5 linked regions of the Rattus norvegicus genome follow. The protein of the gene in region 4 interacts with the protein of the main gene of each other region in a biochemical or structural test. Links are inferred from orthologs where the notes say so. Each region holds a gene or a part of one and is shown on either strand. Other genes may lie near its edges. The genes, in order: Nkx3-1, Ncl, Srsf1, Top1 and Topors.

Evidence for each region.
Region 1: the proteins of Top1 (region 4) and Nkx3-1 form a complex in vitro, tested with the Homo sapiens proteins (2 studies listed by BioGRID and IntAct). The link is inferred for Rattus norvegicus from reciprocal best matches to the Homo sapiens genes TOP1 and NKX3-1.
Region 2: the proteins of Top1 (region 4) and Ncl form a complex in vitro, tested with the Homo sapiens proteins (2 studies listed by BioGRID and IntAct). The link is inferred for Rattus norvegicus from reciprocal best matches to the Homo sapiens genes TOP1 and NCL.
Region 3: the proteins of Top1 (region 4) and Srsf1 form a complex in vitro, tested with the Homo sapiens proteins (2 studies listed by BioGRID, with this or other methods). The link is inferred for Rattus norvegicus from reciprocal best matches to the Homo sapiens genes TOP1 and SRSF1.
Region 5: of the proteins of Top1 (region 4) and Topors, one has a biochemical effect on the other in vitro, tested with the Homo sapiens proteins (2 studies listed by BioGRID). The link is inferred for Rattus norvegicus from reciprocal best matches to the Homo sapiens genes TOP1 and TOPORS.

What each region holds. Positions count from the first base shown.
Region 1 is NC_086033.1:50,881,561-50,887,603, forward strand, and holds Nkx3-1 (homeobox protein Nkx-3.1), read left to right. Parts: upstream 1-2,100; 5' UTR 2,101-2,104; coding exon 2,105-2,399; intron 2,400-3,210; coding exon 3,211-3,632; 3' UTR 3,633-4,693; downstream 4,694-6,043.
Region 2 is NC_086027.1:94,452,049-94,458,235, forward strand, and holds the start of Ncl (nucleolin), read right to left. Parts: upstream 4,036-6,187; 5' UTR 3,910-4,035; coding exon 3,892-3,909; intron 2,956-3,891; coding exon 2,839-2,955; intron 1,646-2,838; coding exon 1,144-1,645; intron 932-1,143; coding exon 743-931; intron 642-742; coding exon 555-641; intron 510-554; exon of another isoform or gene 438-509; intron 369-437; coding exon 227-368; intron 1-226. UniProt on the Homo sapiens protein: Nucleolin is the major nucleolar protein of growing eukaryotic cells. It is found associated with intranucleolar chromatin and pre-ribosomal particles. It induces chromatin decondensation by binding to histone H1.
Region 3 is NC_086028.1:73,333,866-73,340,084, reverse strand, and holds the start of Srsf1 (serine/arginine-rich splicing factor 1), read right to left. Parts: upstream 3,588-6,219; 5' UTR 3,464-3,587; coding exon 3,270-3,463; intron 2,851-3,269; coding exon 2,666-2,850; intron 2,316-2,665; coding exon 2,143-2,315; intron 1,946-2,142; coding exon 1,751-1,945; 3' UTR 1,381-1,750; coding exon of another isoform or gene 1,342-1,380; 3' UTR 1-1,341. UniProt on the Homo sapiens protein: Plays a role in preventing exon skipping, ensuring the accuracy of splicing and regulating alternative splicing.
Region 4 is NC_086021.1:169,710,820-169,717,044, reverse strand, and holds the start of Top1 (DNA topoisomerase 1), read right to left. Parts: upstream 3,851-6,225; 5' UTR 3,662-3,850; coding exon 3,629-3,661; intron 3,316-3,628; coding exon 3,291-3,315; intron 1-3,290. UniProt on the Homo sapiens protein: Releases the supercoiling and torsional tension of DNA introduced during the DNA replication and transcription by transiently cleaving and rejoining one strand of the DNA duplex.
Region 5 is NC_086023.1:60,185,257-60,190,717, forward strand, and holds part of Topors (E3 ubiquitin-protein ligase Topors), read right to left. Parts: intron 2,332-5,461; coding exon 1-2,331. UniProt on the Homo sapiens protein: Functions as an E3 ubiquitin-protein ligase and as an E3 SUMO1-protein ligase. Probable tumor suppressor involved in cell growth, cell proliferation and apoptosis that regulates p53/TP53 stability through ubiquitin-dependent degradation.

The sequences.
Region 1 (6,043 bases), on a different chromosome or scaffold from region 4:
TTGCCTATGGAAACGGTGGCATGGTCACGGTCATGCAGAAGAACAGCTAGCCTGTTACTCTGCATCTCTTGGTTCAGTTATTTTTATTTCTAACCATTGTGACCAAATATACAACAGAAGTAATTTAGGGAAGGAAGGATTTACCTTGGTTGGTGGTTTGATGGTATAGTCTGTTAACATGGGAGGAGCATATTCAGATCTCAGTCAGCCAGAAGACACAGAAGAGTAAGCCGGCATTCAGTTTGCTTTCTCCATGTTTCCCCCTTTGCACACTTAAGGTGGAATTCTGCCCCTCCCTGCCACGGTTAACCTTCTCACAGGCACACCCACAGGTAAGCCTCACTAAAACTCTGATCAGGTTGGTGATCCAAAGGAGCCACCTACCCCCTCATTGCCCAGCACAGCAACTGCACCCCTGGGCAGAGAAAGGAGACTTGCTGCACTAAGTCTCTGCCATTCCAACCAAAACCCAGATGCAGACCAGTTAAGTGAAAACCATGTTTGCTGTAGTTTATGAGTCTAGAACTTCGAGCCCAAAATTAGGTGGCCTAATTGGGTGCAGTACAACAACATGAGAGGAGCATGGGCTGGTGGGAAAATTCATACACTGGGGCCAGGAGAGGAGGGAAAATTGTAGCTTACGATCCTTATGTCCTCAACGATCTGAGGACCTGTCATTAGGTTTCATCTCTTAAAGGTCCAAAGCATCTCCAAAGTACCTCCCTGGGGAACAGCATTTATGTGTGGGCCTTGGAGGAAGAGGAAATTCTTCACACACACACACACACACACACACACACACACACGAGCGCATATACACTAAATAAATAATCCTATCATGAGGGACATTCAAGTTGTTATTTCTGCCATTCCCAATAAACCTATAACTTCATATATATACATATATTATATGTGTGTGTGTATATACATATATATTTTTTAAAGGAAAATAAGTCTAGGTAAAATGCGGAGGAAAGCTAGCTTTTCTGAAGGCCTTCCGGTTATTCATCTCAGTTTCCTTCAGCAGTTGCTGTATTCTCAAGAACCTGTTCCTCTTTCTTCCTCCTCAGACATACAATGTAGTACCCTGCAGAGCAGATTCTAGTTGAGTCCTCATGCCTTAGACCACATCAGACTCTAGTTGCATCCAGTAATTAAAAAAAAATCAACGTGGGCTTCCCTCAGTTTCCACTGAATGTTACTATTTTAGCAAATTTCTTTTATCAGATAGGGTCTGTTTACCAACCCAAAGCAGTGCCCCGAACCACGTGACACTTAAGTGACAGACATGGGGAGCCCCGACTTGAGTGTTCGTTTCTTTTGTCACTTTAGTTTGTGTGGTGGTGGTGGTGGTGGTGGTGGTGTGTGTGTGTGTGTGTGTGTTGTTTGTAAACAAAGACAGGGCCTCACTATGTAGGCCTGGCTGTCCTGGAACTCCCTGTGTAAACCAGGCTGGCCTCCAAATCACAGAAATCCACCTACCTCTGCCTGTCTTCGCTGGGATTAAAGACACGCCACCCAATACAGCTTGAGTGTTTATTTCTTAAGTATATTCTTTACTGGCGTTACAGCATATGGTCAACTCAGGAAATGAAACACTGCTATACAACTTTGACCTTCCCTAATATACTTTTGCTGGTTGTCCACATGTGTCCAGCTGGGAATCCAGCGTGGGGCCATCGTGAGCCTGATTGTCAGACCTAGAACCACTCAGTAGATAGGTCTGACTTTGTTATCAATCTCTCTTGCTATCTGAACACAATTGGGGTAGGTGAAAGGACCTGCCTGCTCAGCTCAGTGGGCCAGGACGTTTTACCGATCTATGAGAGCTACTCGCAGGTCTTCCACATCGCGAATCCAGTAAGAGTTTGGGGTCTGTGGCTCATCTGGGAAAGGGAATGAGGGGATAACCAGGAAAGGCTAAGAGCGCATCTGGAGCCTACTCCGCGCAGGGCTCGCCTCTTGGGGGGTCACCTGGAGCCCACCGCAGCCAATCGGGGCGCAGCCGTGTTCCCGCGGCCAATGGGCGGGCGGCGCGGCGCTCAGCATGGCTATAAGTGCGCGCGACCTAGCGATAGCAAAAGCGGCGCGCAGTGGAGGCGGGATGCTTAGGGTAGCGGAGCCCCAAGAGGCACGGTTGGAGGCGGGTGGTCGCAGTCCCTGGGCAGCGCCACCCACGCAGTCCAAGCGGCTCACGTCCTTCCTCATCCAGGACATCCTGCGGGACCACGCAGAGCGGCGTGGGGGACAGCCGAGCACCCCGCAGCACCAGTGCCAACCAGACCCTAAGAGGGATTCTGCTTCAGAGCTCGACGAAGCAGAGGGTAGCAGTGTGACTCTGGAGGACCCGCCAGGTATCCGGTCGAGCCCCACAGAGACACGGGCTGAAACCGAGTCAGGTAAGTGGAATAGACCAAAGGGCATGCTCCACAGGAGAGGACGCTCTCAGGCTGATGGCCACGAGCTCTGGATACAGGCATCCGGGAGTGGGGGTGGGGGAATGGCCACAGGAAGGACCTCAGGGTCCTCTGCACCGAGCCACCTTGAGCATCAACCCTGAGGGCAGCTAATAACTTTGTCATAGGCTTGACTCTTTTCCAGGGGCTCCAGCCATTTTACCACTGGCTACTAGAACTAACGGTAACCATCAATAAATCAAGGCCACTCCTAGGTTCCTTAGGTCTCCATTCCACAAGCCATAAAATTATTGATGTTCCTTTAGGACTTTAGAAATAGGATCGATTACGCCTTTATCCCACCCCAGCCCCAACCATTTTCCATGCTGGTAACTAAGCCACAGTCACAGAAAGGGGACTAGGGCAGAAAATGATCTGTTCACCATCCCAGGCTACCTGCTCATCTCCACAAACCTCAGTCACCCACTTAAATGTCCCCACAATGCCTCGATGCCTCGGTCTTCCCTGTTGGCACGTCACCCACCTCTCTTTACCTCATACATCCAGGATCCACGTTTCACTGATGTAAAACAAGGCAGAAAGTTCAACTACGTGTACTTCACACTGATTATTAGAGGCGAATACATAGTATAAAAACCTACTTGCTTCTTCGGGGTAGTTCCTTAGTCATGCGAACAAAGCAAAATGTATCCAGATGACAGTGGGCTTTTTGTTCCCTAGCTGAACACAGAAAGGTGGCTTGAATTCTGGGCTAACATGTAACTCTTTTCTTCTCTCCTCTGTTCTTCTCCAGATGCACATTTTGAGACTTATCTGTTGGACTGTGAACATACTCCAGTCTTATCAAGTGCCCCCCAGGTCACCAAGCAGCCACAGAAGCGTTCCCGGGCTGCTTTCTCTCACACTCAGGTGATTGAGTTGGAGAGGAAGTTCAGCCATCAGAAGTACCTGTCCGCCCCTGAAAGGGCTCACCTGGCCAAGAACCTCAAACTCACCGAAACCCAAGTAAAAATATGGTTCCAGAACAGACGCTACAAGACTAAGCGAAGGCAGCTGTCAGAAGACCTGGGAGTCTTGGAGAAGAACTCCACATTGTCTTTGCCAACCCTGAAAGATGACAGCCTATCCAGGGCCTCCTTGGTCTCCGTGTATGCTAGCTACCCCTACTACCCCTACCTATACTGTCTGGGCAGCTGGCATCCAACTTTCTGGTAACAACAGTTCAGATGACAACTGCATAGATCAGAAACTGCCTTCCCTGGGGGTCCCTGGGAAAAAGCCAGAGTGGCTGATGTCAAGGAGTTGAAAGCAAGAAGTGTACAGACACAAACTGTTGGGTGTTCCCAGGGAATACTCCGATTCTTCTCTGGTGGCCAATGAAAGATCTGGGGCAGTGGACATTTTATTATGTAGTCACAGTTCCAAGTGTTCTGTAGGTCACGGCTGTCAGTTCCCTGTTTAGAGAGAGCTAGACAAGTTCAAGTCTTATTTCCAGAGCTTAGAGTGGCTATGGCTGCAATGGCTACATCGTTCCTAAGAATTCTGTTGCTGCAATTTCATCCTCTCCCATAACTGGGTATCATGAAAGGGCCAAGCAAGGGGAGGGATGGCCCCTTAGATGAGGATTTCCTCTTGAATTAAACTTGTGTTTAAAAGTCTCTTGTTGGCCTTGGACTCTGACCAGAGTTTCCCTCTGCCCTTGTAAAAGTGAGGGTAAACGGGAGATTTGAAGAAGGGGAGAAAAAACCTTAGTGATTAAGCAGGTTGGCATAGGACATGAAGGGGCTGGAAGGTGGCATTTTCAACTTCTTACTCCTTTTGCAGTGATGTGCCAATCCAAGGATTTACAGGGCAGCCTGAGTGCAGCAGGGTACATATACTGAAGGGGGTTAAGACAAGCTGTGTAAACAGTTTGCCTGCAGGGGTGGGCTTCAGAACAGACTTCCTGTCCAAGACAAGGGCCTATGGGGTTTCCAAACTCCAGGTGAGCTGCTTCGGTCATGACATTTTATTACCAGTGAAGGGGGAGGGGAGATCTTAGACTCAGGAGATCCTGCAGCTTCCCTGGTCTGAGAATTCACACCTCATTATGACAGAGGTGCCATCATTTTTAAACAAAGGATCTTCCTTCTATTCTTTTATTTCTTGTTCTTTCTTACAGGACTCCTCAGTTCATTGTTTTCATATATGCCTGTCTTATTTAGTGTAAGATTTGCTCCCACCACCTCCCAAGTTTTATCTTTCCCAGTTTAATAACTAACTAGCTTCAGACAGATTATGAATTGACTAAATGACATACTTAAAAAAAACCTAGCAACTCATCTCTTTCCTTTAAAAATATGACATACTTAAAAAAAAACTAGAAACGCTATCTCTTTAATTTAAAAATACTTAGCATTAAATCCCAAACCCTACTTAAAAGACCACGAGAGCTGAAGATCATGGTTTCTTTCACAGGACTTTCTGCTGGCTTTGTGCCCATTGGGGTCCCTGTAGGCACAGGAGATCAAGGGGCATCTGCTTTTCATACATAAGGAAGAACAGGACAAAAGGAAGGGCTGGCACTGCTGACAGGTCTGGGAGAGAGAGGGGTCTTGGCCCAGGCATAGCTGTCAGCCCAAGCCAACCAGCAAGCAAGGAGTGATAGCTTTGCAGAAAGATGCTATGAGGAAAGGTAAACTGTCTTCAAAATACAACCTCACTACAGCGTCCATCCACAGATGAGTGTGTAAATGCTTTAGAAAACTGTGTTTAGGGGCTTCCCTAAAACGGGAGGAGTGAAAAAGAAAAATGATTGCCCCTCCCTTTCCATCCTGATACCTCAGTGCTGAGTGGGAGATACAGAACACACCTATAACAAATGAGGCTTTCTGGGGCCAGGAAATCCCTTTATCCCACCACTCAGTACTGTGCAGTGAGAAAGCTTTTAATTTCCTCCTTTTAAATGGGCCAAATTACCGTTGGTGGCAAAACTGCCAAAGGGAGTTGATGGAAATTTGGCCTCTTGCACCCCGTTCTTTTACAGCCCCATGTTAAAATATTGTTCGGTGCCGCTTGTTGCTGACTGCTGTGGCAGCATTAGACCACACCAAAGCTGGAGGGGTCTGGTTCACTTCTCCCTATCTGTCTTTTGGCCCTGACTTTCTCTTCTTTCACTCTGACTAGAATCTGGTTTTTTTGGGTTTTGTTTTTTTTTTTTTTTTTTTTTTTTTTTGGCATGCACTTCCATTAAGATTAAACTATTAGAGCGTGCAGTGTGTGGCAAGGTCAGAAAGGGAAAGGCTTGTGGTTAAAATTATTTGTGTGTGGGGGGGTCTGACTCCATTTTGGTTTCTTCCTACTGGAGCTAATCATTCACCCACACCCGAACTGGTAGAAATATGACCTGTTGTCTCCAGCATGTGAGCTGGAAAATGCTTTGGGAATCACCTGGGTAACATATTTCTGTCCTGTCTCATCTGTTGGTTAGCAAACCCTGCTCTAACATAAAAGTCCTTCACTTGACATTTAGAAGAGTACTCTAATCCAACTTTATTTTTCTATGTTGTTTTTTGCAACAGATAAATGTTTTAAAATAAAGCCTCTATGTTTTTATTAGACACCTGCATGTGTTTTTCAGATTCTTA
Region 2 (6,187 bases), on a different chromosome or scaffold from region 4:
AAAATTACCCAAAATGTAAAATTCTTAAAATTGCTATTTGACACCCCCAAGTCAAACACAGGACTTCAAATTGCAGGTCCTATAATTTGATGATTTAGTTCATTACTATCTAACCTCTTTATTACTGTAGTGCCTTATCTATCCCAGTATTTAAGGGCGTGGAAGAACACAACTGGAAGGTAAAAATACTAGCTGATACACACAAACCATTTAATGAAAAACATACCTATTTGTACCAGTTCTGACATCCACAGCAGCAAGATCATTTTTAGCAAAAAGTTCACTGATGGCAACTTTTAATTCAGCAACAGACTTGTTTGGATTAAGGTTTCCAATGAACAGGTTGAAAGGTGTAGTTGGTTCTGAGCCTGCACAAAAAATGAGCTTTTTTAGTCCACTTAAGCATACGACAAGTGAATTTCATCATAAACTATAAAGCACATCAGCATACTGCATTTCAATCCCAGATGTTTCAGTATTAAGTCCCTTTGTTAGTCATCACTTGTGCTATTGCTACTCTGATCTCCTTTTAAGTCCCAATTTTGCAGGCTTACCTTCTATTTTCTGTTTCTTGGCTTCAGGGGCTTCTTTCTGCTTGGTCATCTCCTTCTTCCGTTTTCCAGGTGCTGCTTTAACAGGTTCTGCATGTTTTAAAATGTCATTCATGAGTACACAGACTTTTTAGCATTTCCATTAATAAGCATTACTTAAGTCAGCATACTTTATAAGTTAATCTGGTTACCTTCCTCTTCTTCCTCATCCTCATCTTCATCGTCCTCTTCATCTTCTTCATCTTCATCCTCCTCTTCATCTTCATCATCCTCATCATCTTCCTCCTCCTCGGCCACACTCTTGGCTTTCACAGGAACAACTTTTGCAGGAGTTTTCTTTCCTTTGGCTGGTGTGATCTCCATAACTTCTTCCTCAGAGTCTGAAAGAAAGATGGCTCAGTAGGCAAATGCATTTGCTACCAATCCAGACAACATAAACACTACAAATACTTAAAAAAGGAAAACCTTGAAAAGGAAATAAAAACCCATTAAGTTATGGAAAGAATTAAAAGCATAAAATATGAGTTTTTAATCCAACCATGATGGTCAGGGAGTGTACATGCAGTACTCAATATCCTAAGCTCTAACTCACCATCTTCCTCCTCCTCCTCTTCATCATCATCATCATCATCTTCTTCATCATCATCATCTTCCTCATCCTCATCCTCTGAGGCAGGAGCAGCAGGAGCTGCTTTTGCTGGTTTCACTCCTTTTACTACCGGTGGCTCAAATTCATCCTCTTCATCTTCATCCTCATCGCTGTCATCTTCATCCTCTTCATCTTCATCCTCATCGCTGTCTTCCTTCTTGGCATTCTTACCATTCTTAGCCCCCTTGGCTGGAGTGACAGCTCCCTTTTTACCAGGAGTTGGTACCAATGCTTTTGCTTGTGCAGCTCCCTTTTTACCAGGTGTTGGAACTACTTTGGCTGGTGTAACAGCTTTCTTGGCTGGTGTGGCTGCTGCCTTTTTGCCTGGGGTAACAGCTGCTTTCTTAGCTGGTGTGGGAACTGCAGCCTTTTTTGTTTGTGAAACAACCACCTTCTTTGCTGGAGTTGTGGTAGCCTTTTTGCCTTTCTTCTGAGGGATGACAACCTTGAAAGCAAACAAATCATAAGCATTCCTCTATATCCAATGCTATGTTAAGTTACTAACACAAGATAGACATTAGATATGTTTCTAAAAAGTAAAGAACTGGAGAGATGGCTCAGAAGTTAAGAGCACTTGTTACTCTTTTTTTTTTTTTCCGGAGCTGGGGACCGAACCCAGGGCCTTGCGCTTCCTAGGTAAGCGCTCTACCACTGAGCTAAATAAATCCCCAGCCCCACTTGTTACTCTTATAACAAGTTTAACATCCACATGTAGCTGTAATACCAGTTTCAGGATATCCAAGTACATTCTATTCTAGCATGAGGGGACCAAGCATGCTTAATGCACTCACACACATAAAGATAAACATTAAACCCTTAAATAAGGATACATGGCCTTCAATGCTTAAAAAACTGGACTCTTAACTCAGCACCTGAGCTTTTCTAAGAAATTTGATTGAGCATGACCATAAAAACTGTCCTGAGATAAGGTTTCACTATGTACTCCTATTTCTGTCTCCTGTGTGCTAGATTGTCTTTAAATGAAACTTGGGAATGTCATATCTAGCAAATGGGTTATTAGCAGCTTTCTACCCATACAATGTATTTTGAACAATGATTGGAATTAAGATTCAAATAAGCTGAAGCTCAGTGATAGGGACCAGTATTGCAAAAACAAACCATGTGAGATAAAGAATACGGGGAATAATAAATTTTGCTTAGAGAACAAGAATCTAAAAAGGCTACCCTCTCCTCTAAAGTGTCCAGCTTAGTCCCTTAATATATAGAAGGGGGGGTAACCCCAAAAAACTCACATGGTACCACCTAAGCTGAGACCCTGATTCCATCTCTACCTAGATCAAAGTCTGGGTTTCTCACTAAACTTGTCATTTGTCTGGATACTGTGGCTAACACCTAATTCAGGAGAACCTATCTGAGGTTAGGCTGGTCTACAGCTTCCTGTCATAATGTCCTGCCAAAATTCACAAAGCCAAGTGACCATGGACTGAATAAAAATTAGGCTAGAATAAGCAATTTTCCCAAAAACGGAGGGAAAACCACCCCACAAATCTACAGTAAACTCTACTCAATACAACATACGAAACTCTGCCCAGACACCCCCCCGAACTGACTGTTATTTCTGACACTTCCAGTCAATCTACCACTGCAAATCACACAATTTTTCAAATAGCATCCTACCTCCTCTTCTCCACTGCTGTCATCTTCATCTTCTGACATTTCTTCATCCTCACTATCTTCTTCCACCTCCTTTGGAGGAGGAGCCATTTTCTTGGACTCTCCGTGGGTTTTGCCGGCCTACAAATGCACACAAAAAAATCACCCGCATTGTAAGCCACTTTGTCCTCGGCCACCACCTCCTTTCTTACTAAAGAACACAAGCATAAAGACTTCTCGTGGCCAGGCACGACACTCTTCCTGGCAAATTTTTCTGAGAACTGCGCATAATTTGTCTTACAGACAGAAACCTTCACCAGGAAACAGCCACAGGTTTTTAAAGTCTACTTAGTCGTGGCACTTTATTTTCTGGCACGTTCCACAAAAAAGAAAAAAACCCAGTTAAAGGTTCCATTTTAACTATTTGCCGGGGAAGGGGGTTATCTCGAAGGCACCTCTTAAAAGCATCTCTGTATCGGAGCTACTTCCTACTTTCTCACGCTTACAGCCAAACCACGTGGAGTCACCTAGCCGGTCACCACGCGCTACCTCAGGAGCCCACCACGTGTCCATCTACCCGTCACGGTCAGGGACTGCGGATCGCTAGGTAACTAGGCCAACTCTACTGTCCCCTTTCCCGGTGTACTCCCACTCCCCTCACTGCCTCGGACGCGCGACACGTGCGGAGCGCCGTAACCCACGTGGCGGGCCGCGCACCGGAGCACGTGCGCCGGGAGGCGGGGCCGAGAGCGCTAGCCGCTTAAGGTTGGCCCACTTCACTCGCCGAGCCTCCAACCCCCTCTCCGCGCTCAACTCCTCCGACTTCCCCTCACACCGACCCCCGGCCCCGGTGCACTCTACATCGCCCTCCCAGAACCTGCCTCGGCTCCTCTCATCCCTCAAGTCAGAGGCCAAACACCGCGAGACCTCCCGCTAGTCGCGCGAGACTTCCCTCAGCATGGCGCCCTCGAACGCGCCCGGGACTGTGCGCAGGCCCTCCTCCCCTCCGCGACGGGCGCGCGCGCGTCTCTCAGAAAGCAGGCCTAGTCGTCCGTGTTCGCGCGTCAGGCCTATTACCTTTGCGAGTTTCACCATGATGGCGGATTACGGCGACGGCGTGTGTAGAGAGCGAGCAGCTCAGAAGAGCTTAGCGGAACCCACGCGAAGACGACTGGATCGGCGGGTAATGAAGACTCTGGAGCACGTACAACCGCCTGCCAGCTACAGCTAGCGTCTGAGGCAAAAGACTGAGCTTGCCCAGTAATCGCCTCTGGAAAGGCGACGAAGGTGTTCTCGTGACCTCACCTCCACCAACCAGAGCTCGCGTCCGTCCCCCGAACCAACCGCGAGCCTTAACCCAGGACGGCGTGGGTCGGGCCTAAAGCGTGGGGGAGGGCGGGGCTCTTAGGGGCAGGGCCTGACGTCTGCTTTTGAGGGCGGGACTAGTTTTGGCCAAGGCGGACGTTGATTGGTCAGTGTGCTGGTCCTTTGAGTGTTCCTGAGCGCCCGCTCGCTACACGCCTGCGCAGTGAAACGCGCGAGTTTGGCGCGGCTTGAGTGAGGCGCGAGTAGGTGGCGGTATGGCCCGGATTCCCTCAGGTATCCGTACGCCGCATGGACGTCTGTGCTTAGGTGGTCTGGGCATTTCTCGGGGATTTCCCTTGCGTAGCGGAAACCTGCGCCTCCCGGTGGACTTCTCAGGGGCCTAGAACGTTCGCCGCGCTGAAGAGCTGGAGAGCGCCGGAAGGCCTAGAGTTCATTCGGGCCGTTTAGTGGGCCTTGGCCTGCCCTCGGTAGAGGTGGCGGTCCTCTTGGCTGTGGTAGCCTGATGCGAGCCACCACTTTCCTGAGAGCTCCTAATAAAAGCAATTTCGCGCGCGCGCGCGCGTGTGTGTGTGTGTGTGTGTGAGCAGTGCACAAACAGTCCATTTAATCTCTGACCTCACGCGGTAGGTATAACTCCAGGTTCAGAGAGGTGACTTCCTGGTGTGTGGTGGGAGAAGTACTCGGCCTGCCTGGGACCGCTCACGAGTTCCCTCCGTGGCAGAGGACGAGAGAGTTGTCTTGGATTGCTTTAAACGGATTGCCACTAACTGGTTCCAAGCGTAGCAAACGGGTGCCCTCATCAGCTGACAATATCGATTAAAAATTACCTGTGGAGGTGCTGGTGGGGGTTGAGATAGGGCCTCACTATTTGCTCTGGCCGTCCTAGAGCACACTGTGTAGACCAGGCTAGCCTCGACCCGCGTCGTCACGCCCGGCCCAATCTAGAAGATTTGATTGGAGTTTTTTGTTTTTTTGTTTTTTTGTTTTTTGGTTCTTTTTTCGGAGCTGGGGATCGAACCCAGGGCCTTGCGCTTGCTAGGCAAGCGCTCTACCGCTGAGCTAAATCCCCAACCCCTTGATTGGAGTTTTTGAGATAGGTTTTCTCTTTGTAGCCCTGGCTGCCCCGGGACTCATTCTAGACCAGGCTGCCTTCGAACTCGGAGATACCCCTGCCCCCTCCTTTGCCATCCTCGGGAGATTTTAACTCAAGTGGGATGTGTTGAGACCCCGGGTTTTCTATCTGAACACGGGCCTTTGGAGATAAGTAGAAATAGTCACTGCGTGATGCTTACTTCCTAAGGCCTTCCCAACATGGTGGAGGGCAGCCACAGCTACACACAAGTGCTCTCTAGTCAGGGCAGGTGATGCGGACCAGTGTTGTGTGGGGGCATTGTCTTTAAAGTGAGACCGGTCACACCTTCAACTGTATAGTATGGAGCCAAGGGAGACTCTTGGGTAGAGGGATAGGAAGGATGGTGTGAGGAAGACCTGGATATTTCCAAGCAGAGCAAGCTAAAGGCATTCGGGAGGAGAGAAGATGAGCTCTGAGTGTGAAATGACATGACTTCTCTTTGTCAATTCAATCTGTTGGGCTTTCCTCAGCCCTCTGGTGTAAAGTGCCACTAAGAGACTTACTCTTGTGACCCTAGGTTACACTGTTAGGTATTATCAGTTGCCTAGTACTTGGGCGTTTATTGTTAATTTGCCCCTTACCCAGACAGAACACGGATTGTTTATTCTTGGTACCTAAGCCATTGCCTGGCATATAATAGTTTGGAAATTTTGCTAACTGGAGTGAGGAATGTGGCTCAATGGTAGGTGCACACAAGGCCCTAACTTAGGAACAAGTTTGAGTGCAGCAGCAGCAGCAGGGACAGCTAGTACAATTTGTGTTGCAGTGGAGTCAACAAACACCTAATACATATGTGGTGCTTATACAAATTATAATTGGATATAACCATATCAAATTGGATCCCCCATATCCCTGTAGGAAGCATGGGGGTGGAGGCTTGGCAGCACATAACTAACTCCAATACTGGGAGTTGTG
Region 3 (6,219 bases), on a different chromosome or scaffold from region 4:
TTCCCCTTTAAATGTTTACCATCTACTCGTGCTGAATCCTTCCAAGGAGATTGCTCCAGCGTATATCTCCAGGTCCTCGCTTTGCTCCTTTTACCAAAAAATGCAAAACACAATTCCATCGTGCATCTTAAGGGCTCCAATCGTCAAAAATAGGAAAAAAATTCTTTGGAATAGCCAATTAAGTTGAATGAAAAAAAATCCACACGAATGCGGTTTGGTTGGGGCAGGAAGGAATCCACTCCTATGTTCCTGGTAATCTGATCCCGCTCCATGAATCCTGGTAATTCATCCTCCCTATCCTATCCACATTATGATTTGAATCCAATGATCCAGCTCCAAGGATTGGGATCCAGTGAGCCCTCTCCAATCCAAACCTTTATAACCAGCAAAACCAAAAAAGAGGAGGCAAAATGTTAGATACTGTAACCAAAAAAAGTTTCTGGGGAATGATGAGTTATGTCTGTCATCAGTTTACAGATGTACATCAATAACTATCAAATTCCCCAAAACAAGTTTTCTGTATGGTGTTCAGATAAATTTTAGAAACTTAATCACTACAGAGACTAACTGGAAGAAGCACTTTATATTTACAGTTCAACTGATAATGCCAACATTTGTTACTGTACAGGTATCACAGGTTTTGTGGTTGCAAAGTTATGTAATTGAAGTTTACTGGTATTACTACCCACCTAAATCTAAACTAAATCTATTGCTCCCATCTGCAATTTAGCTTGTAAATTAAAGTGTTCTAAACATGAGTCAATTATGAATATTAAAAGGGAAAGTGAGACAAAAGTATTCCCAACTAGATTATCTACATTAATATGTTGGAATTCTATATTTTGCTGTCATTTTTGTCTTTAAAAAATGAAATAACAACGCTCTATCAGTCACACAGAGGACATGCAGATTTAGCAGTATTGATATTATACTCTGTTTGGAAATAGACACCCTGTACCCACATGTACACCAACAGCAGGCCACACATTAACAGTTGTAACTAAGCACTGTGACAAATTAGCCATTCTTCCCACATTAGTCCCTATTAAAACAAAAAGGGGGGAAGGGAGCAAATAACTGTTACAAAACGGGCAATTTTGCCACAATTGCCAAGGTTTTAAAAAGCAAAGCAATTGTAGCTGAAGATAACTGCATAAGATGTTTGCAAGTCTTTTAAGGTAGATAAAATTTTAACCCTCGCCTTTTAGTATAAGGTCAATACTGCCAATTTCATCTGTGACAATAGCACTTGGAGTCATACCATTGCCTCCATTATTGATCTGATCCTCCTCAATCCTCCTTTTGACAATCCTAAAATGATTGAAATGTGCTCCACAATCCTTAATCCAAAGCATTCTTAATCCATCTCTTCAGATATGTCTACAGAAAGACACATGAAAAGCAAGATAAACATAAGAACTTCCCCAAGTAAGATAACCACAAACACCCCCAACATCCCATTTCACACAAACCAGAGCAGAATAGACATTTACATAATATCACAGTCTGAAGAGCATGGAAATTAACTAAATTTAAACAATCCTGTCTATGACATCACTTAAAATACAAGTTACCAAAGACATGAGGGGAATGTAGATGTTAGGAGCAAGGGGATATTACACAAGAATGCAATTCAACACTTTAGCCCATTCTGAACAAAACAGTTTGAATTAAAAAAAATGAAAAGATTGTACTGAGTAAAGGAAAACTGTATACAACATGGGTTCTACAAAAAGTGTCACCAATCATCTTATGTACGAGAGCGAGATCTGCTATGACGGGGAGAATAGCGTGGTGATCCTCTGCTTCTCCTTGGGGAGTAACTGCGACTCCTGCTGTTGCTTCTGCTACGGCTTCTGCTACGACTACGGCTTCGAGATCGAGATCTTCCATAACTTGGACTTCTGGGCCCATCAACTTTAACCCGGATGTAGGCAGTTTCTCCCTATTGGATAGACAGAACTTTCCATTGAAAGATCTAAGCTTTTACCTGTCTTTCAGACAAGCTGAATGAATACAAAGACAGACCAGGTCTCTGGTAATTTACTCGGACACCCTTGCCTGTATCCTTACCTTCAAATTCCACTGTTAAGAAAACTGTATCCAATTCTGGCCAAAAAAAAGAATAAGTGTATAACCTACCTCATGAGATCTAAACTTAGTGTTATCCAGTTTTCGAACTGCATACGTCATATCTTCTTTCCGTACAAACTCCACGACACCAGTGCCATCTCGGTAAACATCAGCATAACATACATCACCTGCTTCACGCATGTGATCCTTTAAGTCCTGCCAGCTTCCACTCGGAGGCAGTCCTGAAAAAGTGAGTCCCTCCAACTTAATACTACTTAACCTGTCCCACATCAAACGTGTAAGTACATTAAAACAAAGATTAGTTTAAAATACTTAATGATTGTACTTAAGTGTTTCCAGGTAAAGAGCTGGTAAGAGTCAGATCCAGAGTCCAAATTTATTTGTAAAGGATCTTCATAGGCTAGTACTGCAACCTAATTTGGGTAAATCACCACCACAGTAATCTTCATTTACTAAATTCACCCGAAAGACCGAAGTAGTTTAAGACCCCATGTTTAAAGCAAAACAGAAAACTTGCAGACCTCAAAACAATCACGCGGGAAAAATTTTAACCCGCACGAAGTCAACTCACCAGAAACAACCACTCTGTTTTCAGACCGCCTGGATGGCGGGCCATAGCGGCCTCTCGGGGCTCCGCCGCCTCCACCCCCGCCGCCGCCTCGGCCGGTCCCACGGCCGCTTCGGGGAAACTCTACCCGCAGACGGTAGCCGTCGTAATCGTAGCCGTCGCGACCGTACACCGCATCTTCCGCGTCTCTGCGTGTGATCACAGAAAGCAAAGGGGATGAGGAGGGAGCCGCTGGCAAAGCTAACTCACTCGGGAACCCGCGGACAGCGCACATGCGCACCCATGGTGCCAGAGCCCACATGCGCTGCATAATAGGACCGGCCCCTCCCCCACCCAGAAACACGCCGGGCAGACTCCCGACCACCACGCCAGCCCTCAGCGCCTCAGTTTCCCGCTCCGGGGCTGCGCATGGGCTCTGGGGACGTCCGAGGCGGTCAGCCACCGGAGACAACGCGCCGACTCGGCTCCTTACTCGACTCCTGCAGGGGCGATAGCGCCTCGCTCCCAGCCTCGGAGCCCCTCCTTCCCCCATTATGTTAAGGCCTCGGAGCCTTCCCCAACTACTCCAGCCTATCTCCTCAAGGCCGCAAGCCCCACGCTGCCTCACCGCGGGTCCTCGAACTCAACGAAGGCGAAGGGCGGTCCCCCGCGGCGGTTCTTCAGGTCGATGTCGCGGATAGCGCCGTATTTGTAAAACACGTCCTCAATGTCCTTGGTTCGGATGTCTGGAGGTAGGTTACCCACGTAGATGCGGCAGTCGTTGTTCCCTGCCGGGCCACGAATCACACCACCTCCTGACATGGCGGCGACGAAAAGCGCGGACTCGAAAAGAGGCCTTCCCACCAAGCCTAGCGTACGGCAGAGCGAGCCCTCAGCGGCACCACGTCTCCCGCGGCCGGTCCAAAATGGCGCCTTTATCAGCTCGGCGCACTGATATGGGGGGGAGGGGGAGGAAGAGAAGCCGGAGGAAGCGGCTATTCCATTTCAGTGCGCACGCGCACGAGCGTAACGGGTGCTGAGAAGTACGCTCGCGCACGCGCGACGTCACCCTCCGCACGGAGGGGAAAAAGTCCCTCGGGTCCTGGGCTTATGGGATGATTGGCTGGTGGAGCGGCCAGACGTTTGGTAAAAGTCACATACTCTGGTTAAAGGGGTTATTACCAATCCTGCTGAGTCCAGGATAGTCGGTTTCCTCTGGCGTAAACTCTCTCTGGAAGCAGCTCGGCGCTTTAAAAAGATTGGGTGAAACCTAGCCTGCAACTGTGTCCCAACATGCTCCGCGGTGGTAACGGCCTTTGGCGGGAAAGGCGTAGGGGGCGGAGCTAGATGACGCTGGGTGTTGCTCCGGAAACCTGGGCAACTTTAGCACTTCGGTGCGGCCGGCCGAGTTGCAGGAGATTCGTTTAACAGCCTAAGGGGAGCTGTGTGGCTTTTGCTTCTGCGAACCTGCGGTGGGCTGCATTTTACACAGTTAAAAGTGTCTAGACGGATCCTCCATATCTATTTAGATGAACCGTGCCTTCGCTTTTTTTCTTCCTCCTTTCAAAGGATGAAAAAGGAAACGTGATAAAATACTAACTGCTTCTTTGGGCCGAGATCCGGGTTCGGTGCTAGTCTAGGGAGATAACTTTTTCCCCGAGATTATCTGAAATAGGATTTTTGTACTGGATACCACAATTTTGCTTCTTTGTTTTGTAATAACGGGAATAGGAGAGTTTTATTTGTGAAATCATACAGGCTTTTTAATTAAAACAAAACTAAGCTGGACTTAAGTCTGTGTGCCTGAAATCCTATCACTCTGGGAGCTGAGGCAAGGAGGTGATAAACCTACTCTGTGATACACATTTCTATTAAAGGTCAGCCCGGGACATGCAGGGAAACCCTTTCTATTAAAATTTTTTAAAAACAAACCTTTTTCTTGGCATTGTTTTTGAGTTTCGGGTTTCTGTTTTGGTTTGAACAGCCCCTGGCTGTTTTGGAACTCAGATCCTGCTGCCTTCTAAGTGCTAGGATCAAAGATGAGTCACCACCTCCTGGCTAAAACCAGAACCTTTCCTGTTTAGATAATAAGACAGCCAGGTGTGGTGGCGCATTCCTTTCAAAGTAGGCCTCAGAATCTCAGGAGTTCAAGGCCAGCCAGAGCTGTGCAGTTCCTATCTCGAATAAGTATGCTAAATCGGATCCCCGGAAATTTTAAGGTTGATTCTCTACACTGTAATTTTTAGTTTTCAATTTTATTTTATGCATATTGTGCCTTGGGGTGGTGGGTCATGCCCCAGCCCATGTGTGAAAGTTAGAAAATAAAGTGCAGTTCACCACTTGCACTATGTGTGGTCAGGCTTTTGAGGAGCATCTTTATCAGATGAGCCATCTGCTGCCCCTATACATTATCATTTATTTACCACAGTCCAGGGATGTAGGGCTGCTTAAAATGAAACCATTAAATATTAAGACTGGCTGGAGAAATCAAGGACAACGGGGATGGGGGAGGGGCAGAAGTGTTGTATAAGATTTCTAGGCAAAATGCCTGAAATAACTTGTTGAATTTTGAGAGATCAACTTCAAATTTGACTAGTATCCCCAGAAGAAGAGGAGAGCATAGTATATTCAAATTTTAAGTGATTTTGAAATATTAAATATTAAACAATTTTGAAATGAATTTTACAGCAAGCATGGGAGCCCACATGGATAATCTCAGCACTCAGGTTTAGATAACAAGGAAAATAATGAAAACACTGTAGGTCTAGGTTACATATGAGACCCTGCTTCAAAAAACAACAAAATTGCATTTTGTAAATGTCTTAGTGACCAAAATAAAACAAAACAAACTCAATTTGAAATGATCAAAGATATTTGTTGAAATATGGGGGAAATGAGAGATTTTTGTGGGGAAGGAGAAAAAATGATTTTTGTTTGATTTTTGAGTCAGGGTCCCCTTCAACTTCTTAGGCTAGCCCTCCTCCCTCTTAGGACCACCTTTTTGAAAAGTGAAATTTTTGTTAAATCTTAAAGGTGAGTATGGGTGGCTGGTGTCTCTGCCCTGGAGAAGCTGAAGAAGGGAGATAAAGAATTTAAGGTTATCCTCTATTCCCAGTTCAAGGCTGAGCTGATCTATGTAAAACACTGATTCAAAGTCATGGTGAGGCATGCATTTAGTCCCATAGTTCATAAAGCAGTGCTGAGAGGCTGGCTGGGAGTTCAAGGCCACACTGGGCTATGTCGTGAGTTCCAGAACAGCCAGGACTATGTAGAGAGACATGTCTCAAAAGGAAGGGGGCTAGGGTCCTCTGTTTTTCTATAATCAGCAAAATTGTTACTTAGCAGAGTTCTATCATGGAAGGTGATGTTGGGGTAGAGCCTGAGTAATTTGAATTGAAATACACATTTTCTTATGTTTTTAAAGTGTATATTGGGCTGGAGAGATGGCTTAGCGGTTAAGAGCACCGACTGCTCTTCCCGAGGTCCTGAGTTCAAATCCCAGCAACCACATGGTGGCTCACAACCATCTGTAATGAGATCTGATGCCCTTTTCTGGTGTGTCTGAAGACAGCTACAGT
Region 4 (6,225 bases):
TTTTCAGGTTTAAAGCCACATTATGAGCCTTCTCATTGCCTGTCATCACTCATATACAACAGACAGCAAGCACAGAAGTACAACCATTACAATCAAAACAATTCCCTTCATTCAAATTAAATCCATGAAACCTATCCATAATATACACATTATCAAATCATAATGTAATGAAGTTGAGTAATTGGAGGAAGCTCCATTAAGTCCAATAAAACAGACAGTAACTTAAAGTTCTTGAAACAGAAAAAGATTCCCAGCACCTTAAACTAATGTTAACAACTGTACAGCTAGGCATCCTGTAATGACTCACCCCCATTATGGCTAGTGCTACTGACAAAAGGAACCTTTTTCATTCAGGTGAGAGGGAAGTATGAAGTCTGGGCTATGCTCCTGAAATGACTAGCTCATTGCTAAAATCTTCAATATAAATATACTACACAAATAACATTTCACAGCAGTTGAGTATTACCCAGAATGTTCTAAATTTCACACAAAAGGCTGTAAATGTTAAGTATCCACAATGGGGGCTGGGAGGAAGTCTTTTACACCTTAGAGGATTTGGGCAAGCAAATTAAGGTGGTTTTAATGTGATTGTTCAGGCACACTTAAAATCATATTTAAATATCCTCTCACTATAAAGATCAATTAAGCCTGGTATTAAAAAACTAGCTTTAATTTTTTTAAATTGTCTTTCATATTTATTTGATCACTCACTAGTTCACAGTGTATACTTGAAAGAGCAAAGTTACTGACACTAACATCTAGACAATAACTACAAAGACATCACTACAGCATCAGAACCTTAAGGTAGTAGGCACACAAAACTGCTTTTGTCTTCAAATTTTTGGCAAAAAGTAGATGGCCTGCCATCAGTATTTCCCTTTCCCTCTAACTGCCCTATACAAAACAGGAAACGTCATTTCTTCATAGCAGCAGCATCCCTATTGCACGGAGGGAGGCTAGGTTCATGGCTTTAGAGTACACTCAGTTTCATCTCAAATGGAGATAACAGTAACTAACTCATAAGGGTCCTTCCAAAGAGTAAATCAGGTGAGTTGAGATTCAAGCCTGACAGGTGCTCAATAAATACTAAATATCACTGTTGGAAAATGGAAAAATAGCCTAAAAGTTAGCACAGGCAGTTTAATTCACTCTATAAAAATGCAAAGATAACATACCCAGACCATAACTATGCACACATTCAATAGCTCTTTTGTATTTAAATGAGAACAATGGAAGTTAAACTTAAGAGGAAAAAAGGCTCAATTTTGTTTCATTGCTAAATATAACACGTACTAGGCTCAACTAAAGAGCAAACACTTTTTCTATATTTAATTCCTACCTTCCCTCAGAACCACTTTTTACATCTATACCTACCACATCCTTTTCTGCCCCCTTTTCAAAGAAGCACATCTATATGCTTGATGGTCTCATAGCCCTCTTTTAAAAGCCTGACAGGATGGACAAATACTCCCAAGAAACAATCCAACCCCTGACGATTCTCAGCACCCAGTCTTATACAACACCCTGCTCAGTCACCTCTGAAATTACCCACCCCCAGATAAAATTAAACCCTTTATGCTCCCAAAGCATTTTGGGTACACATATACATACTCCAACACCTACCTTGTAATTAACTAATGACTCCCCCCAGTAGGCTGAGTTGAACAAAGACAGATGTGGTGACAGGTTCAATTCTAGTACTAAGCACAGTACTGACACATATTAGGTGCTCAAGAAAAGCATAGCTTTACCTAGATAGACAGATTTTCTAACTCAGTGCCATCTCTCTTTGGGTGACCCACTTCAAAATATAAAGGTAAGGCTGCTTTCTGTTGGGTAGACCAGTACTATGGACTTCTGCACCAGAAAAGCTTACCCAATGGCTTCTCTCACTCAGTTCCCCAGAACCCAAACTCAACTGAACACGATCATGTGCCATAAGAATCTGTGGGAATTTCCAGTATACTACAATGGAATTGCTGGAAAACTCATAAATGGGAGCTTCTTACTGGGGTGGTGGGAGATACCCAGGAACATTCTTTCCTGGGTAACCGGTGTAAATATTTAAAAAAACAAATGACTGGAAAGGGCTCAAAAGTGTAAGGGTGTGGGAAAGCTAGCTAATTCTTGATTCCTGAAAAAACAGCAGCCCCTGAGAAGAATGAGCAAGTGGACAGGAGTCAGGGCTGGCCACTCTGCTTCAATAAATAAGACCCCTTTAAAAACTCCATATGACCCTCAAGAAAAGGCCAGCACATCATGTCCAAATGATTAGCTCAACAACCTTTCCTTAGGACGAGCACACTAAACTATGTCTCTTTAAAAAAAAGAGAGAGAGAAAGAAAAAGGAAAAAACCTGCCTTGGGAACCCTAGCCACAATAGGAAGTTCTAGTCACTAATACTTTTAATTTTTTTTAAAAGAAAATATGCTCAAGTCCAACACTCACACTAGGTGACACACAGACAACTTGAAAACTTTTTGAAAGGGAGGTATCTTTGCAAAGAACACAACTTGGGAAAACAATCCCCAAATACAAAGAACTCCATGAAAGATGGCTTTAGTTTTAAGAACCATAACTGCTATCGTAAACATCTCACCATTTAAAAAATAAATTAAGAAGACGAAAAAAAAAGCCCATAAAACCCAACAGCTACCCTTATGGGAATCTTTCATTCTGGAAGCACACACAGACACAAAAAAAAAAAAAAAGGAAAAAGAAAAAAGAAAGAAAAGAAAAAGAAAAAAAAAGCAAGCAAACACGAAGCAGAAAGCAAGTAACTTCCAAAATAAAGTTCTATTAAGAAGGAAAAATGATAATTTCGTCTCTAAGCCTTCCTTCTCTGGTGAGGTCTGTGATTTATATGGCTCTGCTCTGCAGAAAGCTCTTTCTGGACAGCTCAAGGAAGGAGCCGAGGGAGGGAGAGAAAGACACAGGCACAGAAAGGAGAGGAGAGAGAAAAAGAAAATGGCGCAGAGACTAAGTCCCGACCGTCGACAAGGCGACTTTCCCGGGAAGAATCCCGGCGGAGAAAGGCCGCCCGAGACCCAGCGACGGGCGACGCGGGGTCTCCAGTGTCCCCTCTGGGGAAGGCCATGATCTGGGGGTGCTGGGGCCCCGGGAAAGGGGGTCCACAGGCGGCCCGATGGGAACAATGGGGCCGGTGAGCGAGGAGCCGGGACTTAGTCTCTGGGACGCCATGTCTGTCCTCTGCCCGGCTCCGGCCCGGCGCGGGGGAGGCAGCCAGCGGCGTGTGGGGACACTCGGGGCGGGGCGGGGGGCACACTCACCATTCAATCGGAAATCCGCTTCGATCTGAGGAAAGAAAAGGAGGGAAGATGAAACAACCCGCACATGAAGCCCCGGGCCGGCGAGCGAGAGCGCGCGGCCGGGGGCCCGGGCTCGGTCCCACCCGGCGCCCCGGAACCCAGAGGCCCGCGAATGGCCTACCCGGGGCTGCCATCCCCCCCAAACTCCAACTTGACGGCTCCGCCCGGGGCCCGACCATCCAAGCGACTCCAGCCGGCTGCCCCTCACCGCGGAACCGGGCCTGTCAACCCGGCGCGGCCGGAGGGGCTGGAGCCGGAACCCGGCGGCCGGCGGCGAGATCGGGGCCGGCGGGTCGCACCTGGGAGTCGTTGTGGAGATGGTCCCCGCTCATGTCGGCCGGCGTGCGAACGCTGCGGGCTCAGAGGCAGCGCGGGGAAGAGAGGCGGACGGTCGGGGCGGCCTGAACAGGCGGACGGAGCTCCTGAGAGGCACGAACAGACGGCGACAGCAACCAAGGGCCCAAGACTCCCCGGGACAGCTGAGGAGGCGGCGACGGCGGCGGCGACGCTGCTGACAGACTGCCGGGCGGGCGGGCGGCGAGAACAGACCCCAGCAGTTGTGTAACAGCCTAAGTTCGCATTTCCCCTCACTGCGCCTGCGCGGCCGCTTTTAAATGGGACGTCGCCGACGTCAGCGCTCGTGGAAAGAGGCTGAGGGTTGCGGCGGGTCTCTTAGAGGTCCGGGAGACAGAGCCGGTTTTGCCTTGCAAGTTCCGCCCCTTTATTAGCATATGGCCTTGGCTCCTCCCATCCTATGCTTTCTGCCTTGCTTCGGGCTGGCGTTCTCAGAGGCGGTACGCCGGCTCTAGGCAGTGCGCAGGCGCAGCGCGGACACCGCCTCTGGACCCTGGACACCCGTGCAGCCACGTGGTAGGCCTTTAAAGGCCGCGGCGGGACCCAGCTGGGCTGGGCAGGGACCGAGTCTCCAGCCTCTGCATTTCTAGAACCAGACAAGTTTGATCCGCGCGTACCTTAGCTACCGGGATCTCAGCTCACCAGCGGCCCTAAGGCACATGTAGCTGGAGTCTTCTCACAGCCTTTGTCCAGACCTCAGACTTCTGGATTACTTCACGTCCATTTTTTAAAGTTATTTTAATTTTTCAGTCAGGTTTAGCTCCAGGGTACAAACTCATACATGTAGCCCGGTGTCACAAGTGCCCTACTGCATTTGTTCTTTTTTCAAATATTTATGAAGCACCTACAGTGAGCCAGGAATTACTGTTGATGTGGGAGGGCTGCGGTTCCAGATCAAAGGGAATTGGATTCCCCAGGTAAATGGTTCCTGATTCTATTCAGGACGCTACCCCGGGAGAGAACTATTATTTAGGGAGCACCATGCTGTGAGATCTGCCCTGAATCCTCACAGTCCTAGGTGTGGACCATCTACTGTCTTGAGGGATTAATGACATCAACACTTGGATCGTAGGCTGAATTCATCTCCACTCGGGCTCAATTCCCCCCTAAGTCAAAATATAAATAAATTCGGAAAACCTTCATAAACGTATTATGAGAGATAATCACTTGGGATTAATTCTTGTAAATACTTCAAAACTCAACTAAACGCCCCTTTCCACATGCCGATCCTTCCTACCTCTCTCCTTTATAACAGTTACCACAGTCTTTAAGTTACTCATAGGGGAGCTAGTGACCTCTTGTCTGTCTCTATATAATTCGAGGTCAGTGAGGGTGAGGACCTCTCCATCTTGTTCAGCACTTAGTCCCCAGGATTCATCAACAGGTCCTCTGACAGAAGAGCCCAATAAGCAAAAGCAAGTACAGTAATGCAGTGGCTAAGAGTCCACACTTGGAAGTCAACTGGCCCATTTTTGAATTCTGCTTTCCCATGCAGAATTTTCCTATTCTGAGTGACCTTGGACAAGTTGTTTAACCACTCTGACTCCCGGTGATAATTGTCTTTAATAAACTATCCCAAACAAACAAAAAGACCTTGTTGGGGGGCATGTAGAAAATATCTATCATCTAATATTTAGGCCTGCCTGATTCCATTGCTCTTTCTCCGTAGCCATATGCCAGAGTCAGTTTTGCCTGGCTTAGCGTCTCTCCTCAATAGCCTTCCCATGTCAAAGGGCCAGCAGGCGAGGCATCTGGTTCCCACCCATTTACTGCAGTTAGGCTGAGATAATTCAGCCTTCAAGAAAAATAGTCCTCTGCTTTAGCTTCCAGCCCCTGGTAACTTGGGATAATCGTCATTGGCTTTCCAGATCCCTCCCAGGAAGTCCAGCTAGACATAGAAACAGAATGCAGGCTCCAGAATGGTGTATCAAAGGTGGTAGTGTATTAGACTCAATCATGCCTACCCATCATCGGGCCATAGATTAAACACCTCTGCCTCCATGTTTGGCTAGTGATGTCCACGTGACCACTCTCTTCTCCAACTAATGATCCCACGCATGGTCTTATCGCTTGAGAGGACTTTTGGTCCTACACAGACGAACTTTGACATTTTTTTTTAAGTGGACGTGTATCTATTTCAATGTGTATGTTGAAAAAAAACCACTTAACTGCCACATAAAACCCATGGAATAACTGTTTAAGCTAAAGTTTTTTTTTTAGATATTGGGTGATTAATTTTAAATAAAAATATTCAGCTGGGCGTGGTGACCCACACCTTTAATTAACTCACTACTCCACACGCAGAAACAAGGGGATCTTTGTAAGTTTGAGGCCAGCCTGGCATAGTGAGTTTCAGGCTAACCAGCGTTACATAATGAGACCGCTTTTATTTATTTAAAAAAAAAATCCAGGAATAGTACAGAGAGGGAATATAAGACATACTCCAAGGAGGTTTAAGGCAAATAGATCAGGCTTGGAAAATAGTGTTTTAACTCAAGACTATTCGCTGATAGACCACCTCGGCCTTCATAAAAGTGACTAG
Region 5 (5,461 bases), on a different chromosome or scaffold from region 4:
ATCTGAAAAGCTATCGCTCTCGTCTTTAGAACCTCCGTCCAATTTTGATGGCTTTTGGTAATGACTCTCCTTCACTCTGGAAGCAAATGCACGAGACGGTTGTGCCTCCTCATTAGTGTCTTCCAAATGGCGGGTCTTGTACTTCCGCTTCCCTCCAGGCTTCTCATTTCTCATCCGGTCAGGGACAGCTGACGTAGTCCTCGACCTATTACTCGACACGCTCCTCGATCGGTGCCTCTCATAGTAGTAGTATTTCCTTTCACTGTGGTTCTTCCTCCTGGCATTTGTTCTTTCAGAAAAAGACTGAATTCTAAATTCTGGACTTGAAGATTGTCTAGAATAATGGGCTCTTGAAAGAGTCCTCCTCCTGTATGACGACTCATAACCATCTCTGTCCTTGTTTCGGCTATAGTAAGTATATTCCCACTTGTATTTGCTTCCATAATTATTTCTTAAATAATAGCGATCTCGATTTCTGCTTCGTGATCTTCGCTTGCCATGATCACTGCTACGAGACCTTGATCTACTAGTGCTTCCACTACTTAGAGAAAGGGTCTGGCTTCTTCTTGACCAGCTGCTATCTCTAGTTCTTGATCTCTTTTTGTCCTTTCTCGCTCTAGGTTTGCTACTACTCTCCCTGCTTCTGGATCTCTTATTCTTCAATCTTTTCTTCCCATGATGCTTCCTGTGATTCCTCTGATCATGTCCACTTCTACTTTGGGAACGGGAATCTGAACTCCTGGATCTTCCTCCCTTCCTATGTCGATGGTTATATGGGGAACATGCCCTGTCACCTCTTGTAGATGAGCTGTCCCTGGGAGTTGACAATGACGTAGATCGTTTCTCTTCTTTCTTTGAGTTTATTCTTGTGTCCGAATCACAATGGCTTTTACCCATCTGCTCATCTTTTCCAAGGACAGAACGCGGAGATGAAGCTCGACTAGCATCACTATCACCTGAACTGTAAGACTGCTCCTGTTCTTGTGTCTTCACTGTTTCCATTTTTTCATAAGAGCCCAACTCCTCAGAATCAGAAGACAGTTCAACAAGTTCTGGGGTCCGTTCAGCTAATGGCTTAACAAACCCAACAATGACACAATTATCTGATGATGAATCGCTGTCATTGTTTACGTCGTCATTGGCCTGTACTCCTTGTATCTGAGATGCGGCTCCTCCAGAAACAAGTTCTTCATCTGAACTGTCCGAAGAATTTAAAAGGGAAGACACGCCAACATGCACTTGCTCTGAATTTGAATATGACGGTCCAGGAGTTTCATCATCCCATGGTGCCTGCCTGATGGTGGATACATTCACATCTAGCTCTTGGGCTTCAGCCTCATCTGGTGATATTGTAATAACTGAAGAATCAGAACGGCTGCCTTCTTCAGATGAAGGAGGGCAATCATAATTAGCATGCTGGTCAAAAGCTGCCATATTGAAGGGAGATCTAGCAAAACTGATAAACTCGTGTATAAAATGCTCAGTTCGATTAAGCAAAAATGGTCTTAGGTCCGACACAAATGCCTGACTCTCCAAATCATAGCGAGTGACATTACTCATGATGATGTGCTGGACAATATTGACTAACGAGCCATGGGCTCCAAAAAGAACGGTAAGCTCACGTTTTAACCAAGGAACTAATCTGTGAAGGCAAGCTGGATTTCTACGGAAGAACTCAGCTGAAATATCCCTGTAGCGGCCACCGTCTTCGATACTTCTAACTCGAACACCAGCACGATAAAGAGTGCGCCTAAAATTAATAATATCTTGTTCTTGAACTTTCCGCAAAGACCTCTCATCTGTAGCAGTTGGCCCCCTTAATGCCATGTGTCTCATAAATTGAGGAATGTCAACATCTCTAGGTCTTGTTGAGATGCCTAACCCTTCAAACAGCACTCCACTGTCTGGCGGAGTGCTTGTTCTTCTACTGACAGTGCTACTGGGAGAGTAAAGAGAGGCGTTCCGTTCTCTCGTCATAGTTGTCCGGTAGCGGAATCTTCGAACCTCAGGGGCGGTAAAAGAACCATTGTAGGAAGGCCTTAGCACATACTCCTTGAAGTCATCTTCAGCCCTCACAGAATGGAAAATGGAATCAAAGGGCTGCTTACACAGTGGGCACTCGGCTTTGTTTTTTGACCACTCTTGTACACAGCGGAAACAGAACTTATGTAGGCAGCGATCTAAGTAAGACACATTATCAAATCTATCCAAGCATATAGGACACTTAGAATCAGGAGATGCATCGGCCGGTACTGTCTGCTGCAGTTTGCTAGTGCCAGCTTTAGGTGAAAAGTTGTCCATTTTAAATTCCTTGGCAGCTGAGGCCATTATCTGTAAAAGGGAAAGAAATGGATCAGTAACTCAGTAATCGGGTAACTAAACAAAAAAGCTTCATGAAGACTCGGTTCATACTTCAGCAAAAATGGTTTTAACATAAAGACAGTACATAATAAAAGCCTAACAACAGACGAGCTCCAAGATCAGTTTCCTACGATCCAATTCTCTTTGTACCCTCAAGTGTTAGGAAAAGAACCAGTACGTGGTAAGCTCTTAGATATCATACCATAGCCTACATAGTCTTTAAGTATTTGACACAGCACATAAGCACAAAAGCAAACAGGTACCTATGTTCCTCACTCAGACTTAATGAGTAACCTTCCAGTGAGCCAGTTATCTCAGATGTTGTGACCACTATCTTCCCATCCTAGACTGGGCTATTAGAAAAAGAAAAGAGAAAAACCCCTCTTGTCCTCTAATGTTTTCATGTATGGTTTTGTGTTTGTCAGACACATATACCTCTAACACTATGTTCTAATGATTTACTCTATTCATGATATACTGTATATTTATATAAAACAGCATACGAAACAATTTATGTGTACGTAACTTTGCACGTCATACAGTACATTAACTTTTCTGAAACAGCTTTTACAAAGTACTTTACATTTGAGAGATTTCACCTGTTTAAGCACATTCTAGTTTTCAGTGAGAGCCTGACTGAAACATGGTCTTTCAGTGTTAAAGCAGCGGAAGGCAGCAGCTAAGTGAGTGTCAGCTGTGGGGACTGCATGAGACAGACAGCCATCCATTACCATGCATTATGCTCAACCGTGGATCATTCCTAAGTGTTTCTAAGGAGCCTCCACAGCTCCTTTCGCTGTTGTCTTGGTTATGTCGATACTGGGTCTTACTGTGTAGCCCAGACTGCCCTCCCAACCTTAGGCAACACTACCACCTCTGCTTCCTGAGTGCGCTGACTGTACACACAGGCCAGAGCTAACCTTTCTTTTTTGCTGAATCTAAGAGTGAAGCCACAGGTGTATTACATGCTTGGTGTTTCCTTCCTCATTGTCTGCACCCCACACCAGAATGTTAACGATCAGTTTCTCTATATTTATCACATCACGTTGTAGCTTACTTCCGGAATGAGTTGGCCGAGGCTGAAACCAAACATGTATTTCAGCCCCCCCACCCATTAACCCTTTGCTGTGCTAAACGCTCTACTAACCATCTTGTACATATGAAAACAATCCTTTCTTTACAGTTCTCTGAGCATAGTGCTCCTCTTCCACCTCTTCAGAGGGAATGCCTTCTCTCCACATGCTCACGGCTGGCCTCTACTCTTTCTCTCCCTCTCTTCTCCCTCTCTTCCCTACCCCCCATCCCCGCCACTCCAATAAACCTCCTCCACGTGAAAAAAAATAATAAAGTGTGTTCACTTACGTCATCTTGACTTTCTTAGAACCATACCTTAAGAGGTCAATTAATCCAAACAAATGTTTCTTTAATGGTTCAGATATTTCCACTTTCTTTTTAGAACTCTTCATTTCTCTCTATTTTTAATTAACCCACTCAGAAAAAGGGGTTTTTAAGACATTAAAAAAACCAAGAGGGGTTGGGGATTTAGCTCAGCGGTAGAGCGCTTGCCTAGCGAGCGCAAGGCCCTGGGTTCGGTCCCCAGCTCCGAAAAAAAAGAAAAAAAAAAAAAAAAAGAAAGAAAGAGGCAGAATGAACCCGCCCTGTGTACACCTCAGCCAGGCCACTGCGCCCTGTGTACACCTCAGCCAGGCCACTGCGCCCTGTGTACACCTCAGCCAGGCCACAGCGCCCTGTGTACACCTCAGCCAGGCCACAGCGCCCTGTGTACACCTCAGCCAGGCCACTGCGCCCTGTGTACACCTCAGCCAGGCCACTGCGCCCTGTGTACACCTCAGCCAGGCCACAGCGCCCTGTGTACACCTCAGCCAGGCCACAGCGCCCTGTGTACACCTCAGCCAGGCCACAGCGCCCTATGTACACCTCAGCCAGGCCACAGCGCCCTGTGTACACCTCAGCCAGGCCACAGCGCCCTGTGTACACCTCAGCCAGGCCACTGCGCCCTGTGTACACCTCAGCCAGGCCACTGCGCCCTGTGTACACCTCAGCCAGGCCACTGCGCCCTGTGTACACCTCAGCCAGGCCACAGCGCCCTATGTACACCTCAGCCAGGCCACTGCGCCCTGTGTACACCTCAGCCAGGCCACTGCGCCCTGTGTACACCTCACCAGGCCACTGCGCCCTGTGTACACCTCAGCCAGGCCACTGTGCCCTGTGTACACCTCAGCCAGGCCACTGCGCCCTGTGTACACCTCACCAGGCCACTGCACCCTGTGTACACCTCAGCTAGGCCACTGTGCCCTGTGTACACCTCAGCCAGGCCACTGTGCCCTGTGTACACCTCACCAGGCCACTGCACCCTGTGTACACCTCAGCTAGGCCACTGTGCCCTGTGTACACCTCAGCTAGGCCACTGCACCCTGTGTACACCTCAGCTAGGCCACTGTGCCCTGTGTACACCTCAGCCAGGCCACTGTGCCCTGTGTACACCTCAGCCAGGCCACTGTGCCCTGTGTACACCTCAGCCAGGCCACTGTGCCCTGTGTACACCTCAGCCAGGCCACTGTGCCCTGTGTACACCTCAGCCAGGCCACTGTGCCCTGTGTACACCTCACCAGGCCACTGCACCCTGTGTACACCTCAGCCAGGCCACTGCACCCTGTGTACACCTCAGCCAGGCCACTGTGCCCTGTGTACACCTCACCAGGCCACTGTGCCTGGTCTGCATTGTGAATGGGTAGACATGGGGAAAAAAGACAGAACAAAAAACAAAACAAAACAAAACAAACCTCTCCTTTGTAGTGTAGACAGTAAGTGCTCAATGCACACAAACAGCAGAGAGGGAAGAAACGGACAGATGAGGGAATATGGACTGGTACCCAGGCTTTGACTAAACACAGCTCTAAAAGCCAGAGGAATCTGCACTGATTTTAGTTAGTTAACACAATGGAGTAGAGTTGGGGGGGGGGGGGAGATCAGTATAGTTCAAGACAGAGCATATTTTATCTTAATTTGTTTCTCTGAATGGCAGAATTTTAGTGTTTATTGAACATTTCTAATTCACATAAAACTTACAGCCCAGACC